Linked DNA regions of Lepisosteus oculatus. The protein of the gene in region 2 interacts with the protein of the main gene of each other region in a biochemical or structural test. Links are inferred from orthologs where the notes say so. Each region holds a gene or a part of one and is shown on either strand. Other genes may lie near its edges.

Region 1 (10,593 bases), on a different chromosome or scaffold from region 2:
GAGTCCAAATTAAAGTTTAATCTGTAATTTTCTAAATCATCTTCAAAATGTTCTTCAGAAAAAAAAGAGAACCCTTGTGACCCCAAAACCTTACGTTACTGTTACAAACAGAACATGCTGCACAGCTGCAATCATTTCGACAAGTGAAAAAAAAACTTTTTGCTCCAGACTAGCAGTAGGCTGCTCTTTTAATAAATAAGCACAAGTGCACTTGATAAGCTTATCAGAGATGCACCCTTTCCAGAGTTAAAGTTGGTAAAGTACTTTCTAAAAGACTATTAACCAAACAGAGAGACGACAACACTAAGAGGCATTGTAATAAAAAGGGCATGGTGTGATGGTGCTTGCTGTTAGCCTGAGAGTCCAGGACAACATCTATGGCTGTATAAATGGCAAATCTGGCATCTGGAGCATCATGCGGAAGGCAATAGCAGGCAGCAGTATTTTATTCCAGGCCGTCAGGTTTGTCTTGTTTCCAGGGGAGGGGTTGCTGCTGACCTGAGGAAATCTGGGGCGCGCACGATCATGTGCTGGAAGTCCTCCAGGGACAGACGCCCGTCGTTGTCCAGGTCGGCCTCGTCGATGACCTTCTCGCACACCAGCCGCACCTCCTCCGGGGTGAGCTCGTTGCGGGTGAGCTTGTTCAGCGTTTTCTCCAGGTCGGACTTGCAGATGAAGTCATCGTTATTGAAGTCTGAGAGCAGAGGAGGGGGAAGGGGGGGTGGAGGGAGAAATCTGGCGTGACTCCCCAGGGAGAAAAAAACCATGACATCGAGCAAATGTTATTCAGCTTGCGCTGGTGGTCCCTTGCTGAACTGGACACTCTGGCTTCATGTCTAACATGAAGCTTGAACCTCCAGGAATATCACCTGGAGGTGTTTGCCAGAGTTAAATCACTTAGACTGAGTGAAGGCTGCTCTAGTACTTTAAGTGTATGGGGTGGAATGGTGGCACAGTGGTTAGTGCTGGGGCCCTGGGTTCAATTCTAGACCTGGGGTACTGTCTGTGTGGAGTTTGCAAGTTCTCCTCACGTGTGCGTGTCTGTGTCTCTCTTGCAATGGACTGGCGTCCCCTCCAGGGTGTGTCCTGCCTTGCCGGGTCCCTGAATTGGATATAGCAGTTGGGACGTGGATGGATATAGCTACAGATGGACACAAATCACTGCAGCTACATCTGTCCAGCAAGAAGAACCGCTCACTTTCAGGTCTCTATTAGTCCATCGCCATTTGACATTAAACAGTTTTGTCTTTGTCTGGACGCACTAACCAGGTGTGTTTCAAAGAAACTAGCAAGCTGGAAATGTTATGCCTGAAAATTCACCAGCAGCAGACTTTTCCTCGACGTCATCACTGTCACACATCGTAAATTGTTTTATAATTCGATTTATTTTAAAGTCCTTGCATGTTATCATATATTAGACATATGAAGTCTCTCTACACGAGGGCGTCTTCTAAGCCAATAAATAATAAACTTGATACTCCTCGTAAATTAAGTGACAAAATCAGTAATTCACTGCCATGGCATTGTAGCTCATTTGTAAGCCTAGCTACTGCGGCCCTGCTCTCTTTTCTTTTAACTCGTCTGAATAATACATGAAAACTTTCTTTGACCCATGACCATGGCCCCGTGCTGTAAAACAGCGTGATCTGTCAGCGTGTTTTAATTAGAAAACGCTGGCACACCAGCACACAGCAGCCTTTCAGAACCGAGCCTTTCATATAACGGGCTCATCAATTATTCCTGAATGGCTTTCTATTGTCTGTTCTTTTCAGGTTGTCTCAGTTAAAGCTCTGAGTATCTTTGGCTCCTTTTGCTTTGTTGCGCTATAGGCAGTGGGGGGCACCACCGAGTGGTCTATCTTGGAAGTAGTTATCTACTTCCTAGCATGCTAAGGAAATTTTAAAATCGTTGGGTATGCTGAAGAGTTTGTATAATTGGAAAAATGGCTTCTCTTCCACAAATCACATTTGTAAGCACGGCAATACTAAAGTTAAAGCATTTAACTTGGACAGCTCTTTATCCTATTCTTGACTGGAAAACGTCTATAACTTACATGAATCACGCTTGGAGACAATTAACGTGAGAAAAATCGGATGAGCCCTTATCAGTCAAGTTGGGTAGAAATGAAAGTTTGATTGCTACTGTAGAGGTGATATCTGCAAAATAAAAGTTTCTTCAAATGAAAGGTAGACCACATTTGGAAAAGTATATAAAATAAAAGCCCATAAACATATGTATTTGTCTTCTACTGAGATCTACTCCCCCTAACTCATGTTGTATATATCTTTTACAAACAAATTGCAATGGACCAGGACTAACCATAAATTTTAAAAGCATAATATGCTTTCAGATCCCTTGGTGCCATTTCACTCAGTACAGAGAACATGTCCAGGAAGTCATCTAGGGTCATATTTCCCTCTCCGTCTTCAGAGAAAACCTCAGCTATTCTCTGGCGGAAAGGGTTGTCCTGCAATTTGCAAAAAAGACATCTGTTTAATTAACTACCACCCTGAATCACTCACAACCATCTGAAGTACTGCACATCCTTTTTTAATGACCAGTCCTGTAGAGAAATGTATTGATTAGTTTTGTTTGCTTTTACCAGAACAACAGAGACAAAGCATACCTCCCATGCTCACCTGCACACAACTTATCTATTACAGGTTCTACCAAAAATGTTTTTAGCAAACTATTGGTCTAATATTTTTGCAAACGTTTCTCTATCTGCAAAGGGATTTTGGCAGATGATTAAGGGTGTATTTGCTCACTAATAATGCTGATCTTTTCCACGGTGCAAATGCCCACAAGAGCAGCCCTGTACTGTGTGTGAAGTGCCAGACAATAGCTGCTATTGCCAGGAGCACAAGCTGTGCAATATAACTTTCTTCAGGTGTACAGGGATCAAGTTACTCATAACCTCTCCAAGGCTCCTGTCAATTAGTAGGCGATGAATAATTGATTGTGTCCCCAGGAGCATGGCATGGACATCCTTCACCAGCACAATCGGTGGGCGTACCTTCAACTCTGGCATGCTGCCAATCAGCTCGTATGGTATCTTGACATCTGGGTTGCTGGTGTAGTCGAGTGGAACAAGCTGTGGTGCCAGGTCCCGGTAGCGATGAAACAGCCTAGGGACATTAGTACATGACACAAGGATACATCATAATCATAATATCCTTAGACTTACATAGTGCCTGTCTAGACACTCCACTCAAAGCACCTTACAGGTAATGGGGAGTCCCCTCCATCACCCCCAGTGTGTAGCCCCCACCCGGATGATGTGATGGCAGCCAAAGTGCGCCAGTACTCTCAACACCCATCAGCTCTCAGTGGGGAGGAGAGCAGAGTGATGAAGCCAGTTCAGAAATGGGGATTATTAGGAGGCCATGATTGGTAAGGGCCAGGGGGAAATTTGGGCAGGACACCATTTAGTCTAAACTAAATGGACTACACAAGCACTATATTTAGAAGAACGGCTTGGAAGCCATTCAGTTCTGTTCAGGATTTAGGACGACAATCAAAATCCATTTAATTCTGCAAATGTCATTGAACATCAAACCCAGAGAACTGAATTTTTACTGATGAGCTAAATCAACTTTGTGCAAAGGATTCTAATGTAAAAGAAATTAATTTAAAATAATGTTCTGCATGCAGGTCAATGGTTCAACCTAATGTCTTTAGCTCCTGAATTGACAGACAGACTATATTTCATTGTCTTTCTTTTACTGAAAGGTAAATATAAACTATGTTCAAATAAAATTTGTCCTTGTGGTTGTTTTGAACAAAGATTTTGAAAGAGTTTATTTTTTTCTCTCAATGAAATTGCAAAATGTTTTTTTCTGTATTTTGTTCTCTTAACAGAAATGCCTCACAACTTCGCTGTGTCACATTCCACATGAACAAAAAGGATTTACTTCATTAACCTTGTTTATTATCAAAGGTGAGCCATTTTTCTTACCTCAGGATTTCTTTTCTGGTGAAAAATGTACAGTCCTAGAAAAACAACAAAGATAAAAACTATTTGAACTATAGAGAATGCTTGTCTGTTCATCATATTGGCATAACTTCACTTATGTGATACGCATGCTTCATGTATGTGACATTAGCATTTTTTATTACATCTCCATTATAAGGCAAAACCACAATACAAGACACTTGAAGACTCAACGGATGAAAAGTTGTTTATTTCTTATTACCTTTCTACATAATAACATAAAAACAGTTACTTACAGAACGCTATTCAAGAACATTTAATTAACAGTTAATTTATATCATCCTGCCATTCCTTGAAATAAGCCAGAATTTCCCGAATAATGTTGTTCTGAAGAACTCTGCTGGGTTATCTTTGTCAGAATTTTGAATACTTGTATCAGGTCACCTCATACTCTTCTCTGTTTAAGACTAAAGAGGTTCAGTTCTTTCAGCTTGTCAGTGTACAACATCTCCTTAAGACCCAAAATGTATCTAGTTGCTCTTCTCTGGACTGATACCAAACCAGCTCATCAGTAAATAATGCTGGATGAATATGTACCAGCAGCCTTTCGGCACAGTCATGCTGCAGAGCTAACAGAGGAAGAAATTAATCATATTTCCTCTTCAGCAACCCTCTTTGTTAATGGAACAAAGACCCTGCCATAATCCGGCCTTGCTTGACACTGGCGCTAACCCTTCGGACTGTGGTGAACAAGAATGGCCATTTACTTCGAATGAGCAGTCAATTCTTTAACCGAGGCTGCAAACTTTCCTTTCAAACCACTGGCATTTACAAATGGAGGGATTGCTGGCTAGAACATACAGCTTTGTAATTTAGAAATGAGGACTGCTACTCCACACTCCACACATCCCTTGCTAATACAAGCAGGTCCATTCAAAAGTGAAAGGCGCAGTGCACAGAAATAATCAATCCCAGAAAGACAGGTGTCATCCTTACTGCTTGTTTTTAAACTTATATGAAATGCTCAGCCTTCACAACCCAGTTAGAAAAAGATCCAATGCAATTGTATTGCATCTGGGTGGAGCAGGTTGCTATACTTTGCTGATAGTAATAACTGTTGGCACAAAACAGATATTTACAGTGGTTTCAGAAAGTGCTCACTCACGACTTATTTGAAAGATTCACACCGTAGAACATTGTGTCTTTGAAAGTGGGTTCACAGGTAAAGTGTACAGAAAGAGAAGTTGCTCCAATCTGCAAAGTGCAGCCCTGAATAAGAATAATCATGAGAGTTCAAAGAACATCCCGCTGAGAGACAATAAATTAGAACCAACCTGATAGGCATCTAGCTGCTGTGTTGTAAAGATGGTCTGTTTGTTCCCCATCCTTGTGCAAACTCCCCGTGCCTCAGTGCCATTGCAGTGTTCCACCCAACAGCCTTTTATAAGACCTCTGGATATTTCAGATATGAAAATACTGGAACAAAAGGAGCCCTGAAACAGTGGGAGATCAGGTATCCTTTGCCACGCGCCCCTTTAGTTCACCATCATAATAGGAGCATTTCATCGATTTCTCTGATCTGAATAGAAGCCCCTTTAAAATGAACTAGGGCTGGCGTCCAGCATGATTCAGACTCATATCAACGCCAAGTGCTCCCCAGCGTGATGTTCCTACCTCGCACTCACCCCTGTCTCACGTTACAGCCTCTAAATGGTCTTTACAGACAGTGCATCAGGTCTCGTCAACCTGGTGTGCTGACGTTTGTCCACAACAGCAAGCAGTACTTGTATACTTGTATCGTGTTTGTGTCATGTTGTGTCCATCCCAGATGTACAGATGTCATTTAACTAACTCTAGTGCTGTTTAAGAGCTGTGCGCTGTCCCTGTTCAATAAACTGGGTGACATCCTTAGGGTGCGTGATGGGCCAGAGGGCAGGTTTTTTTAATGTACCTTGTACAAATAAAAAGAAAAAGAGACCCAGAAGGAAGGGATTTAAAAGGTCTGCAGCTGAATAACATCAGAATTACTTTGAATGCATAAGAAAAATAAACGTGCTTCTTAACAAAACTTGACGAATACATTAATTCCTTGTACCGTTTGAACACTAAACGTTTATTTGTGCAATTTTGTAACTTCAAACTCCAAATAAACATGAGGAGGGATCTTCCAGAATTGTGAAATTGAGCAAAGATTTTTTAATACATTGGCGTCCTTTAAAATTGCAAGGACATTTCCATTAATATAAACAAGACTGCAGTTTAAATTCCAGTTAAATCAACAGCACTTTACTGTGAAGTTTCACGGTAGTGCTTAGTTTTTTATTAAGAGTCTGTATAAATCGGGACGATCGACTTAATTTCCAACACCAACAGTAGGGAGCATTACCTCATCTTTATACGCCCAACCTGGAGCCGAGTCATGAATTATTCACAAAGTCTGCTCATGAATAAGGAAAGTGGTGCTTTAATTGTATTTATCCCTTGTTCGGCTGAGGGCTGTGCCTTTTTTACGGAGTGAGGCGATTTTTATTGTATTTGGTTTACAATGTCTTTTATTCCAGGACAGCCAGTTACAGCGGTAGTGGTAAGTTTCTCTAACAAGAAAACTTTCTTTTGCTTTTCCGTGCATCATCCATAGCGGCTATGGAGCTATTTGAAGGGAATATTTTGTAGGCCTTACAAAGCCTCGGTCTTGCGTATCAAGTTGAAGCCACGGGGGGAAACGCAGAAATCCCTTTGTAGAGCTGTTACGTTGGGGTGCGAGTACGAAAAAATTTTAAATGTATTGTTGCGTGACTAAAGTAATCTACTTTTAACATAAAAAATAACATCCATGGTTTTTACGCGCACGAGTTGTAAAAACTAACATTGGTGTAAATGACTAGTTCAATGCAAACTTGAATGAGAAATTTTATTTTTTGTAAAAGAAAGTGAGTTTTTGTCGTCGTAATTTTATTCACATCATTAGTAGTATGTGTTTGATGCGTTATTGATTTTTACTTAGTAGAACATTTCTGAAAAAAAATTCTGTCTCCTTTGCTTCGGCTCTTTTTGAGAAATCACGGTTCCTTTAAATTTTAAAGGGTACCATCCGCACCCGTGTACTACTACATACATACGGATAACCTGCACTGTATTCTGTATGAAAAGTTTGTGAATTTGAAAGAATTAAAACTTTTATAGAATGCAAAACCTATACAATACAATTATAAATTAATAATACAATTAAGGCTATTTGCTTTGTGGTTATAACAGATGTGCATTCGTTTTAAGTAATTGATCCGATTTTTTTCAACTACAACTACTTACGGTAAATGGTTTCCCCGCGTGTTTACGAAGTGGGTGTATGAGTGAGTTTTTATCATAGTTTGCTCGTCAGGTTTCACGGAACTACAGTATCAAGAAATACATTTTTAATGGCGTGCGGCTATTTTTACCCGTGTTAATTTGTTACACCTGTTTGAATGAAAAATCCTCATATAGATATGAGTACTTGTAGGTTACAGACAATTCCCTATTCGTTTTAATCGTCTTTTCACCAGATGTGGAAAAGACTTACAGACAGTATAGCAATTGTAGCAGAAAATGTATTTTTTTCCCACTGCTGAGTGCATGTTAACTGTTAACCAACAATTCAGTGAATTATTCTATATATGTAATTCTATATATTGCTCAAAAAACATTTGACCGCCTAACAATTTGTTAGTTGTTACTGACACACCTGTCGGCAAAGAGGTGCTCTGAGAAATTCCTCGATGTATTAATTTAGCAGCAATTCTGGTCAGCGTATTTCACGAACTTCAATGAAGAACTGTAACAGCAACATCTGTATCAATTACCTTTTTCGTATTATTCATTCAACATATGTCCAGCTGTTTCATCAAAATGAACGTATGACACTGTTAGCACAAACTGTACTGTGGATTAAACTGTGTTTGCTTACTCGTTATTAAAGAGACCAATCGTAAAAAGCACCCTTATAATGTGAAGGGGAGACCACTTTGTACACACACAGACACACAGTAACTAAGTGGAGAGTTAAGAAAGCATTTTCTAGCTTTTCTCATCTAAACAAATTGACTGATATGGAGAAACTGACAAATTTGTTTCTATTCAAGGTTCCAGCTTTGGGTTTTTAAATATTGAAGGAATGAAGAACCAAGAGCACTGTAGGTGCTGTAGAAGGCTTTATGTATGGTATTTTTTATAGTAAGATCTAAGAAGCCTTGAACCTCGTGTCACCTTGGCAACACACTATTTAAACAACAGTATTGCTAATACACGGAGAGATTCATCCTGTTCACCATGTCAGTACATGAGCTGGCAAACTGCTGGGGTGTGTGACTGACGCCACAGGACATGCTGTTATCCAGGGTCAGTGGGGGCAGATATTACATACGGATGTTGTTTGTATTAGCACGTGCTCACACGATGAAACATGCGATTTTTAGTAAATATTAGAGGAGAAAAGGCATGCAGAATAGAAAAGATATAGGAAGACCTCTTCATATTCTGTGCTTTTGCTGTGTGAGTTACAAGTGAGCACCCCGAGGTCCTTACAAAGAATCTGAATTTAAGTTTTTCAAACTGAGATCCATCCTTCCATTTTCTCATCCATTTAAGATGAACATGGTTGTAGGGAGAGCTGGAAGTTACCCTGGCAAGCAACTGGCACAAGGTGAGATACTGTTCACCTGGATGGCTCCATTTCAGGGCACACACACTCAGAGCAGGGCCAATTTTACAGAAGCCAGTAGACCTACTGTACCAGTATGTCTTTGGACTGTGGGAGGAAACCGGAGCACAAAGTGGAAACCCATGCAAGAACATGTGTTATAAACTCCATGTAGTTAGTACCCCCAGGAATTGAATCCGGGTCCCCAGCGGTTAGCATTGTGAGGTAGCAAACCTAACCATTGTACCACTGTGCTGTCCTCAAACTGAGATATTGAAAAATTTTTTTTTTCATCCACAATCTGGGACACTGTAGTGTTTGAAGCTGTTATTATTTTTATAAGCTTCCTCACATGCATTTATATTGATTTAATTAAAAGGAGTATTTTATAACAATAGAATCTTAAGAGTAACTTCCTGGAAAAGTATTTTAGCTTTGATTGCAAGTACAATAACATATTAAAGAAAGCCAGATGTGAGTGCTAACATTCCAGGTCACACTTAGAAGAAAGAACTTTCATGTTTGCACATCCCAGTCTGATTAGTAAATACAGATATTACACTTTCTGCTGCAGTGCATTGACTGGGTTCCCTCTGAACATGCAGTGAAGTTGACTTCAGACCATCGTAATATGATGAGGGTACTCATGTGTTTTATTGTGTTTCCCAGTTTTCATATGTATTCAGACAACTTTTAAAATGCTGAAAATGCAACTAACAAGTCTGCAAAGTGTTCAGTTCTATCAAGAACCTTGAATTAGATTACTTGATGTATTAAGATAGTGTTAGCTTTCATAGGACTTGAAAATAAGACTTTTGGGTAGATTTGCTATAGGACATGCTGCATGTTATTTCTTTATATTAATGAAGATGCCAGGACATTGCAAAACATTCTCAACAGGATAAGCTAATGATGGCGTTCTTTAAATAGCCAATAGCCTCACTGCAGATTGCCGAGTCCTTGATATTACACATAAGGAGAGGAATGTGAGATAACTGATAAGAAGTTAAATTAACACGTCATAGTCCCAGAACTGGTTTTAGTGCCCTTGTATAGATTATTTAAATATTGCATTGGAGTGAAAAAAGCATTTTCAATATTTAGTTAATCCGCTTTTTGTGAATTGATGTTTCTTAGTTTATCCACAGAGATAGATACAGACTCATCATTCCATTAGATGCTAACATAACTAGTGTGAAGATTGTCAAGTTATGTGATGATATATGGTATTTCAGTAAAGAGTTTTATTTCTTCTCAGTCAGAACAATACATTTTAACAACAGTTAATATAAAAACAAAGAATAGAGCCCAGCTCTTCTAGTCTCTGGCTCAATCTTTTTCTACTGTCCTTATAACTGTCAGCCACACAGCATCTGCTTCTTGCATTATTTTGCTATTAAAAGAGCTTTGTTCGTCACATCGAGCAAACAAACAAAGCACATTACGGATTTTAATCCTAAACTAGTGTGAAGAGTCTAGTAGCTCTCAGCTTGTCAAAAAGTCTCAAACTACTTGAACTACCCGCCTGTCCGAGGTTATCTAAGGGGTTGATGAGTTACAGATAAAGACAACTGAAGAAGTTCTTCTTCTGCCTTTTGGGTGCCAGATGTTATCAGAGAGCGAGACAGACAATAATAAAAGGAACCAAATCAACAAGTTCAACATAATTGGCATAGTTACTGATGAACAGAATGCCAGATGTTTATATGGACTTGATTATCACATATAGGCCTGCTTTGTGTACTGAAATGCCACAGATGCTGCCAAGAGACTGCATCTGTCTCTGTTGCCGAAGAGCTTATTTTTTCCTCCGGTATTTGAGCAGTTGGAGGGTAAATGACTCAAAGGTCTGACAGTCTTGCATGTAAAAGCTATTTGTTGAGTGCCGAGTGGGTGAAAGCCTGCAGGGCTCGAATTCCAAGCAACCTAGAGAATTTAGGGTATTTTCTTAATACTTCATGGGTGCTATTTACCGCTGACTTAA
Region 2 (10,701 bases):
GGCAAAGGATGGCTGTGTGTACAAACTCACAAACTCACCTGCTGTCCGTCATTGTGCTGATATCTCTTTGTGCTTCTTTCCTCTGGGTCACACAGGGAGCAAAAACGGTAAGACATTCTACCCATTCCCCAGACACTGTCCTTAAACTGCCACTTTATGAAATTGATTAGCTAATTCCTTGAGTTCAATCAATGGCGACTCAAACAGGTATGTTTCAGTCTGGCCTGGTTGAACATGTGACCTCATGCATGACTTTAAAAGAAGTCTGTGCTCACAGTAGAAACAGCGTAAGGCAGGACATTTAAGAGGAGGAAGTGCTTCTTTATACACAAGGTTTCAGGAGTGTGTTGGTGTCTTCTATCACAATAAATCAATTTTGATCTGATCAATTGGCTATTAGCAGACAAACGAGATAGATGGGCTGACCACTGTCCACTCTCATGTAGGCTTTCTTAATACAATAATAAACACAAAAACCTCACATTTTTTGGCTATACAAGAAAACTTTTTTTTTTTAGTTGGTAAAACGACATCTATATAATCTCTTCACTTTATCTGGTAGGTACTATAATGCAGTTTCTTAAACTAGAAGCTCTGACTTATTTTCATGTCAGAGAATAGCAGAAGCTGGTGGTGGCTATTGGCTGGAAGGTAGTTTGCTTCCACTAACATCAACTCTGGTCTCGTGGCAACAGAAAAGAGGAAGAAAGGATGAAAAAGGAGAAGGAAGACGAGGAGAAGAGCGAGCTGGAAAAGCTAAGGACCCTCGGCTACGACGAGACCAAGCTGGCGCCATGGCAACGGCAGATCATCTTAAAGAAAGGAGACATTGCAAAACAGTAAAGGCCTGCCTCTACTCTGACACTGCAAACCTCCCCCCCTGTCTTCACCAAACCTCCCTGTCTCCTGCTCTGAGGGGAGAACCCTCTTTTTGCCCCCTGGCCAGGGTCTGTTAGCTTGTAAACCTGGACTCTGAGAGTCTGTGGAGGGTATACATGCCTTGTGCTAGTGAGCACAGATGCACAGTACAAGACAGAAATGGTCATAGGCCCAGCATTGGATTAGCAGCCTCCATATTGTGCACCAACTTTGCACTCTACAGTCTCTTACATTGTTTAATAAGAATCATAGGAAGGTTCTACAGTGAGTACTTGCCTTTAGGTAGCATCCTGCTTCAAGACCTTTTTAGAAAAAACACTTCCTGTTAATCAAAGTACCGGCATGTTTACCGACGTGTAGGTTTTCCATTATAACCAGTTTCCAAGAAATGGAAATGCAAATAATAATTTTCAACCACTCCTCTGTGTTGTACGAATTGAAGCATTTTATCAAGAGAAGCAAATCTTTTAAAAAAAACTGCTGCGTAAGAAGCAAGCACTATCCTGCGGGGAAACGACTTGATTGGGTAGAGGCTAACGTGAGAGCATCTGTGCAGGTATAGGGCCTGGCTCCTGTCTTCCTATTTTGAGAAATACAGTGATGACCATATTATATGCACCCCATACTTTCTGAATATTAAGCTCTTACGGTGAAACCCAGATGTGCATGCAGTTTTAACAATTTAAAGAACTTTTGTATAAGAAACAATGGTGTATGACATGTTGTTCCTTACAGTACAGTGCCAGTATTATAGGGAGCAACACAACAGAAAAGACAGTTTGCAGTCTAGAATCCTTGCTTTTCCACAGGGAAAATGCAATGGTACAGCACTTGGCTGTACTGCCAAATTAACTGTATCATGAAGTGCAGTGAAGGTATCTCCTGATGAAAACTTATACCCCTTAAACTTGGCTATTGACCAACAGTTAAGAAACATCATATCAGTGTGCAAATCAGTCGTCTTTTAAAGCCACAAGAATTGCTGTCCTGTGTAGCAGCTCCGTTTCCAGAGGATGAGAAAGCTGGCTGACCCCTCAGCAGTTAAAGAGGTACTGAGTAAAAAGGTGAAATTGTTAATTCTTTATACTATATGCAGTTTGAACAGCAAAAAGAAACTGGAGCTTTTAAGACCAATAGTAAAAAAATAGCAGGCATAATTTAAATATCTCTGCATAAAATATTGTGTATTGTATGGATTGATAAAAAATTGAATTATGGTTTACTGAAAACTCAAATGCAACATTCTAGTTTATTATCTTTATAATCACACAAAGCAAAGCACAAAGCAAGAACACAAAGCAAAATGAAGGTGTAATTTCTAAGTTAATGACAAATTGGCCCCAACCTTATTGAATGACAGCAGAAGGCTTTATATTAATTAAAACCTCTTTCTTAGATAACAGACTATATAATCTAACATATATCGCATACAGTACGGTTGAGCAAATTCAGCAGCTGCACTGAACATCTGTATTCTTTCAAAACTCAGTTGAACAATTTCATTCTGTGGTGTCTGTCCCTATCTGACCGTTCAACAAAGTAATCTAATTTTAAATGAGCATAAGAACTGTTAACAGTAATACACCCTGTAAGCTTACATGTTAACCGTGCACCAAATTTTAATTCACTCCATGCTTTGGTTTCATAGATAATGGTTGTAGCACATACTTGATCTGTATGGGACCAAACAGAGGGGACAGATATGTCATAGAATATGGCTGGTGTACCTCACCCTTGGTTACAAAATGATTACAAAAGAGGTACCTGGGCAGCTGCACAGAAATGTGGTTCCATTTCGAAAGTTTTCCCAGTAACTGCCTGCAAGCTTTTCTTATTGCGTAGACCACTAGACTGTGCAAATTGAAACTTTAAACTATTTGCTGTAGGCATGAATCTGCCCACACCTCACGGGCCCAGAGAACTGCTGTATGAGTGTGTCTGAATGTTGTATATATGGGCTGATTTCCTGTGAACTGGCTGTAGCGCAGTAGGATAAATCAATGTGCTTTGGATGTAAATTTTTTGCAAATTAAAGATTATATAAATATATATAAAAACGTGCATGAAATAAAGGAAAATGTTTCCAAGTTTGGTAAATGTCTGGGAACATTTATCTCACCACATTGGATGCCATATTGATGTTGAAATATATATATATAAAGACGTTGTAGAACACCATTGCCATTAGTATTACTATATAGACTTGAACCCTAAATTCCCTGTGATGTTTCTTGATTCCGTTGTTACTTTTGTCAGCCTTGCTTATGTAGCATTTTGGTATATTTGTGTAAAAAACATTAAAGAAAAGAAAAAGGAGTTTTCTGACTGTCTCTTGCAATTCAATAAATTCAGAATCATACTTGTTATGCCTGGGAGATTCTGTAAAGAAAGAAGTTTTAAGCCGTTTGAATCAACTCAAGGCTTTGAATTTCTAGCCAGGAAGCAGACACCAAGTACACAAAGGTATGTATCAATACACACCAGAACTGTGGCTAAGCAGCCACGACGAATTATGCCATTCATAGTGATCGGAACCTTAAGAGCAAACATGGAATTGATGTCAAGTCAGTAAGGGTTTCCCTCTCCTCTCCACACTGTATTCCACTTTAGATGGCACCTTTGGCATGATTATGTCTTTGACCATGTTAATTACTAGTCAACAGCAAATCAAACTACATACTACATTCGAGTTCTTGATACTGGAGTATGGAAGTTTGTTGAGCTGTGTACTGTATTATTGTGCAGCCTCTCGGCTTCTTTTGAGTCCCAGTGCATCAGTTCTACACTCAAGACTGATTCAAGTAAGGTATATACTGTACGTAATTGGCAGATACTGTAAACTGCCTAATTTGTGCTTTATTAAAAAACTGGCTATTCATTTTGAAGTAGTAGTATATTTGCCATGTGAAAAGTGACACAGGCGTACAATATGGTTGTGCCTTTTGCACTGCATCTTTTTAAAACACATTTTTTAAACATGGTTTAAAAACACATTTGAAAGAGATAAAGCACATACTGTACACACAGAAGACTGGACATAAACTCTGAATTTTCATTTTTATTGCTTAATACTGAACTTGTACATGCAATCAAATGAACAGCAATGAGTGGCCGCAGCTTAAGTGTTTAAATGCATTGTTCTCTTTCACATCTAGGAAAAGACACTTTGTGTGTGAAGTATGTCTGCTTACTGGCCAGAGGCAGTTTAAACTGTTTGGATGTGCAGTGCGATACCTCTGCGAATTGTCTATAGCAGCCTTCCTTGTGCATGCACGAAATTGTAAGATTCTGTTTCCAAGAAATACCGCAGTTGCAATTAAAAGTTTTCTCAAAACAACTCAGAACAAGGAATCTTTAGATAAGGACAGTGATGTGGGGACAGTTTTACTCAAACAGAACTTCTAAACGCATTAATCCTGCTTTTGCTGATAAATTGTATCCAAAGAACATTTTAGTTGGCATGTTTTTTGCAAAATTGTGTTGAAGCCAATTTTTTGTGTACGCTTATGGAAAGACTTTAGGAATGGAAATGAGTCCAAGATGCCTGAGTGATACAGAGTTTCACCTATTAAATTTCTTCAAAACACCAAACTCAACATGCTATTGGTCCAAAGTAACAACTAGACAAGAAAACAATCATCAGACATGGGCATTTGGGCCTGTTTTTCTTTATACCATATGTTCCTGATTAAAACTAAAATAGTATTTGGCTAAAGTAATCTGAATACAGTTTATTTTTCTCAGTTTTGTTCAAAACTCCTCTCCTTCATTATTCACTAAGCTACACCTTAAACCATTCAATAGGTTAAACCTTTAGGACCCTTTTTCTCTTAACAGGCCAGTCACACACTGTCTATTAGTGTTGAGGCACACATTAGCATAATAAAGTTCAACAAAAAAGTAATGATAACTTCCACTTTCGGTGTAAGATTTTCCTTTATGCTGAAACCAGGACTTGAGTGATAATGAAGACTGTCACAAGTGTTGTAATGCACTCAATTTCAGCCTCATTCTGCTGTGTATATTTTTGTACATTATTTTTGTCACAGTTAAAACGAGATGTTGGGATAAACCTGAGTTCTTTTTTTAATATTAAGATTAGTTTTTTCACCTATCAAACAGGTTTGTACAGGTACAAAATGAGTTCTCCTTAACACCAATTTCAAAATACAATTCAACAAGGTCAACTATGTTTATTCAATTATTATTATACTGAAGTCAGCTTCTTCAATCTACCGTCTTTACAAGACACACTGGGACGGGAGATACTGTACAGCCTACCCAAGTCTCGACTTTTCTCTCAGTATGTCTATACAGAGACCAAACAACAGAGGGCGCGCATTCTTTAATAAAGCAAAACTGAAGTTAACTTCGTATACTGTATACGCTCACAAACGAATGAGCACGCCACTCATAAAATATCACATAAGCTTCGTTAAATATTGTTTATAGTTATTGGGAACGTGTATTAACGTGTATTCTAGTATATAGAAAGTAATATTACCTACATGACAAGTTGTCACTGCTATACCTACAACATCGAGGGCGATTTAGGAATTATACAGTATACACCTTTTTAGATACAGTACTAAAAGTGTAATACATGCACCCAATTTTTAGGATTGCAATTTAATATAACGTATGTCAGTTACAAACGGTGAACCAGGTATCACATCAACCACTCATGCCTATAATATGAACTATTTGTGAATCATATCAACATCACCATTTAGAAAGACTGGGGTTCAGCTTGATGGTCAAGATTCCGGTACAGAACCGACTTGCGTTCAGCCTAGCAAAACTGCGAATAAATCGCACTTGCCTTTATGAACCTAGTGCTAAATCCACAGATCCACATGCAGGAAACGGAACCACATGGTTTCACAAAATAAACCCCTCTTGGAAAATAATGTATTGTTTTAGAAGTCAATTTTGACTTCTAAAGTCAACCGTGGTTCAAGAATCCCAGATAAATCTAACACCGCCTGTGCCTCAAAAGGACGTTAATTCGCTGAATAATATCAGTCAAGTGCCTTACTGAGATCCAGTAGATAAGATACTTTGCGTGCACTTGCAAAAATCAAGGCTGCGCCCTTTTAGCTTGCAAACTGTTTACTCTGTGACAGGACACTGGCTAGGGGTAATATTTACAGTAACAGGTAGGCAGGTCGGCCGAGGCACACCTGGAGTGACGTCACCGGAGCAGTCTGACGGACAGTCGGGGAAGCAGATGGGAAGTTGGCGAGGCACGAAAGCAGCGCCGACTCGCCTTGTTTTTAATGAAAACACAAACTTTTGGACGCATCGCAAAAGGAGGCGAGACCCGCTGGACCGAGTTGCATAGAAAAAAGGTAAATAAACTCGACATCCGACAAACTGCAAATGACGGTTAAACGATTGACAGTTTACAGATCAAATCTTTTTTGTTTGTGTGTGTTTCGGGGTTTTTTCTGCCCTACAAAAACTTGTGACTTCTGGTGTCGTTTTCCGATGTTATTGGCGTGCAGAGTAAAGTGCGTTTTATTTACGGAGAAAAAAAATACGCCGCTTTGCAGAAAGATTAACGCAAGTAAAGACTGAGAGAATGGTTAATTAACGCGGTTCACCTGGAGTCAATCTGCAGGATATTTTTGTTCGTGGAAAAGCGAAAGCTCTCCTCTCGTGTGAAGACGTGTAGCACAGTGGGAAAGGTGGGATTACACTAGGTGTAGCAGACTGGAAAAACTCGACGTCCGTGTCCAAGATCACGGGGGGGACACACCTAGGGGATCATGTCTTTAGTGATGTCAATCGTCTGTTTTTATTTCTCTCTTTGCTGTCATTTCTTAATTAAAATACTATTTGCCATTTAATTACAATGGCTTGATTTTTTTTCTCGGGTATTAAACCGAAGGCATAACAAGACCAGTACAAAGTTCAGGGCACACTTGTATATTTACATACAGTATACCTGATAGGGCAGCTGAAAAGATCGGACTGGTTTCTAATCATTTTATCACCATTTGATTTCTAACTTGGATTCTAGGTCTGATGTCAAATGATGTCTGACACTTGTCCCGAAAACGTTTGTTTTAATACTAGTATTTCTGGTTCCTTGCACAGTCTGTGCGTGTGGTTTTATTCCTGATTGTTGCTGTCCCTGTTCAGCAGGACAGAGGAGGGGGGTATTCACCGGTGGGTGCGGGGGAGCAGACGGTGTCCAGGTCAGTGGGAGGGAGTTAGTAACCATCACGAGCTCCTCGCGATGACTGGGAAACCCCCCGCGTGGCAGCCGGTGTCGAGATAGTCATGCGAAGGGAGCGCAAAGTCTGCTGAATAAATCCGACTTTGTTAGTGCTCTCTCGTTTTTTAGATGCTTAAAAAGAATATACAGTGTTCTGAAACGCGTACTCCCTCGTTTTATCTATTCTTCTTAGTTTTTAGTCCCTTTGGAACGGGATGTTTGCATATGTCATGTAGCAGAAAGGAATGAGTGCTTTTCCTTGGTTTATCTGTATTTGGCTTCGTTCCTCTGAGGTTTTTTTTTATAATAGAGGACTTTTTGTTTTTATTTTGTCCCAGTTCCTAATATCAGGTAACTTTCACTGTTCAGAATGCAGCCCAGAATGTGTCTCTTACACATATTTGATCTTTCCCCCCCAAAGACACGGGACCTGACCTGCGTGTTTTTGTCTCTGCGCGCAGTATGACCAGCAGTATATTGTTCGCTTCTGGCTGAGAGACCCAGAGGTACAGCAAGCCGTGTGCCGAGTCTGGCAGGATGTATAGAAAATCAGGGCAGGGGCCGAGCAGCGGGATGTCTCAGCGCCGGTCTGATGGCTTCGTGGGAGATCAGGCTCCCCTCTTGTTGGAGAACCAGTTCGCCTCCGATCTGCAGCTGGACAGCCAATCCGGACCTCTGGTGAAGAGGGTCAGCCAGTCCCGGGGCTCTCCCCCACAACCCCACGTGACCGGCGCCCCCTCTGCTCAGGAGGAGAAGGCGGCAAAGGCCCAGATTGTTCTGAGCACCGAAAGCAAGGCCGCCCTGAAGCTGGGCACCCAGCAGATCATCCCCAAGAACCTGGCCGTGGCCAGCCGGACCAAGGTGCGCTACCACACCACCGTCGTCACCCTGCCAGTGCCCCTGGAGCCCGCGCAGGACAAGCGGGCCTCTGCCCCGGCTCTGGAGGTGTCCTGGGACGGCCACGAGAGTGACGAGGAGGACTGCACGCTGGCGAGGAACCGGCGGAACCAGTCGTACCGGGCCGCCGTGAAGAGCCTGGACAACGGCGCCCTGCCGCTGCCCGCCACGCTGTCCGCCCTCAAGCCCGTCTCGGAGGAGAAAGAGCCCGTCTCCCAGCCCCCGCGAAGCAGCGGCCGAAGCCCTGGCCGCAAGGTGAGGCCTGAGAATGGTTTCCCCGTTGCTGCGTGTGTATTTCCTGTCAAGAAAAAAAAAATGTGTGTTGGACGAAAAATCCTTTTTTTTTAATCAGATTTCTTTACACCGCCAAGTCCAGCCTGTCATGAAACGTCCGCAGCTGTATTCTGAAGCTGCTACTGCTCTGAACCTACAAAGTGAGAGCTTGCGGATACCCCATAGCTGTGTGAGCTGGCATAGCAAACCACAACCAAAAATCACAGTTGCGGGAAAAAAAACTGGTTTCTTGCAGCCTGTTGTGGCATGTTTCTTTCTGTGCACAGGGTAAAAGCACTGCGTTGTTTTAAATATAGAAACAAAGGACTGTACTTGTGTGCAGGACAGAGGACTGACACCTTCTAAAGAAAGCTCTCGTTCATGGGGTTTTGTATCTCTTGGATGGTCTATTTTGTAGCAGAGGTGGAGCAAACTGTCTCCTCTTAGGAGCTGATAAGGACCTAGGGTATGAATTCCTTCTCATAATGATGTATTTATTTCCTAGTTTGTCATGGACACATGTAGAAACAGGTCATGAACGATGCAACCCCTTGCAGGCGAATGTGGAGGTGCTGTCCTCCTCTGTTTTTGTCAGAGTCTCTGCCTTGGTGTGTCACCCAAACTGTGCTAGCTGGAGGACTCCGATCACAAGAGCTTTGCGTTGCGCAATTTTGCGTTGTGGTGTGGGAGAGCAAGGAGGCAAAGGTTATGGCTTGGAGAAATAAAGCAATTGTACATTAAGAAATTCAGCAGTGTAACATTGCTGTTAGGTTACTGGTGACTCTTTAGTCCTTAGTTTTTGTCAGTTGCAATGCAAGACTTGGGCATTTTAAGCTAGTCCTGTTTGTTCATCCCTGGAGTGAGAGACACTGGCCCATGGATCCCATCAGAGGCTGTGGCACATGAGGTTAGACACTGTGCTGTAAGAGCTGGATCTGACGTTAAGAAATGTTATATTTCTATATTCCACTTTCGACATGCTCGGCCCCTCTATCTTAAATGTCCTGGTTGAGCTCAGCACTTCAGAAATGAATGAAGTGGGTCTTCTCAGTGTGAACAAGTTTGAATCCCTTGGAATTATACAAATGAAAGCCATTTTTGTCCTTAACAATATTTCAAGCCATTTTTGAGTAATTCTTACTGTCAGGACCTATTCCAGGGCTCCCAAGTGCTTAAATGTGTTTTGCTGTGTGCACATACTGTATTTCAAAGGAAAGGAATTAAAGTAGATGCCTGGCTTCATCAGTTAAAACTCCAAGATGTGGTTTTTGAAAATTTGAAGCCCTAAAAGCAGCACAAGCCTCTCAGTCAGCCTTCGTATTCTCCCTCTTGCTTGCAATAAGTCACTGTTACTATGGGAGGAGGAGACGGCGAAAATTTTAAATAGAATGAGAATACAGTGATGATGCTTTATTTCCAGGACGGTTTCCTTCCTGTTTTATTCTGATGCCGATTAAAGCTTACTATTCTCACATCCCCACTTCTATAAACTGAGAGAGCGGCTAGTTTTTTTGAGAGGGGGTGGGGGGGTGGGGGGATTAGGAAGTGGAAATAAACTCCACATCCTAAAAAAATGGATGCATCTCCAAAAAGAAGAGGCATAATGCATGCTACTTACTCATAGCTGGGCTGTGGCCATGCCATGGAGCCTCTTGTATACCTGACTGGTAAACTGGTGCTGCTGCTGTCTTTCATGCAGAGAACCCTGGGACGGAAGAGGAACACGAAGCACAGCGGCTCTTTCAAAGATGGTACGTGACCCTTGTGTTTTAGGGGTGGGGTGTGGGCATCATGCGGGTGGGCTGTCCTTGGAAAGATGAGAGAACTTTAGTTAACTTGTAAAACACCAAATGGTGTTTGACATGTTGGTACTAATTGAGGGTTCCATAACCATTTTCTGTATTCTGTGGTTTTACCATGATTTGGTGAAAGTTTTGGAGTATAAAGGGAGATCTCCTTCTTCTCATAAACACTCCACTTTCATAATAAGAACACCAAGTAAGAGTTCCACAATTGAAGGGCTACTATGTTTCTAGTTTGGGTTCTTTCAGCGATTATTTTCCTGTTAATTTGAAGTGAAGTTAGAACAGGGGTACCAGTTCACAGTAAATCGTGGAACAGCTGTTGCCTTGGAGTTTAATTTTTGAAACTGGGTTTTGTGTTAGTGAGAAGTTGACCAAGTAAATCGCTCTGCTTTGCCTGTGTGACGCCTTTTCACTATCTAGTGAATTGGACTCTTGCAGATGTTCTGTGTACGGCCAGGGTTGAGCACCTCAGTGGTTCTGATTGGCTGTCAGAAACCAGATATCACTCAGTTTACGACCAATCCGCTCGCCACGCCCCAAGCAGACCCTGTCTGTAGAACTTTCACACCAATGATGATGTCACAGTCATGATGAGAGGCACATCAACACTGACCAGTCAGCTTC

What was found.
Region 1: the proteins of arhgef16 (region 2) and tax1bp3 form a complex in vitro, tested with the Homo sapiens proteins (2 studies listed by BioGRID and IntAct, with this or other methods). The link is inferred for Lepisosteus oculatus from reciprocal best matches to the Homo sapiens genes ARHGEF16 and TAX1BP3.

The regions. Positions count from the first base shown.
Region 1 is NC_090724.1:5,142,024-5,152,616, reverse strand, and holds the start of tax1bp3 (tax1-binding protein 3), read left to right. Parts: upstream 1-6,299; 5' UTR 6,300-6,479; coding exon 6,480-6,518; intron 6,519-10,593. Other genes in the region: calcium and integrin-binding family member 3, read right to left, coding at 499-694, 2,320-2,467, 3,017-3,128, 3,959-3,993, 5,269-5,319. UniProt on the Homo sapiens protein: May regulate a number of protein-protein interactions by competing for PDZ domain binding sites. Binds CTNNB1 and may thereby act as an inhibitor of the Wnt signaling pathway. Competes with LIN7A for KCNJ4 binding, and thereby promotes KCNJ4 internalization.
Region 2 is NC_090720.1:5,495,141-5,505,841, forward strand, and holds the start of arhgef16 (rho guanine nucleotide exchange factor 16), read left to right. Parts: upstream 1-5,965; 5' UTR 5,966-6,230; intron 6,231-7,523; 5' UTR 7,524-7,639; coding exon 7,640-8,254; intron 8,255-9,971; coding exon 9,972-10,023; intron 10,024-10,701. Other genes in the region: espn (espin), read left to right, coding at 87-107, 696-843. UniProt on the Homo sapiens protein: Guanyl-nucleotide exchange factor of the RHOG GTPase stimulating the exchange of RHOG-associated GDP for GTP. May play a role in chemotactic cell migration by mediating the activation of RAC1 by EPHA2.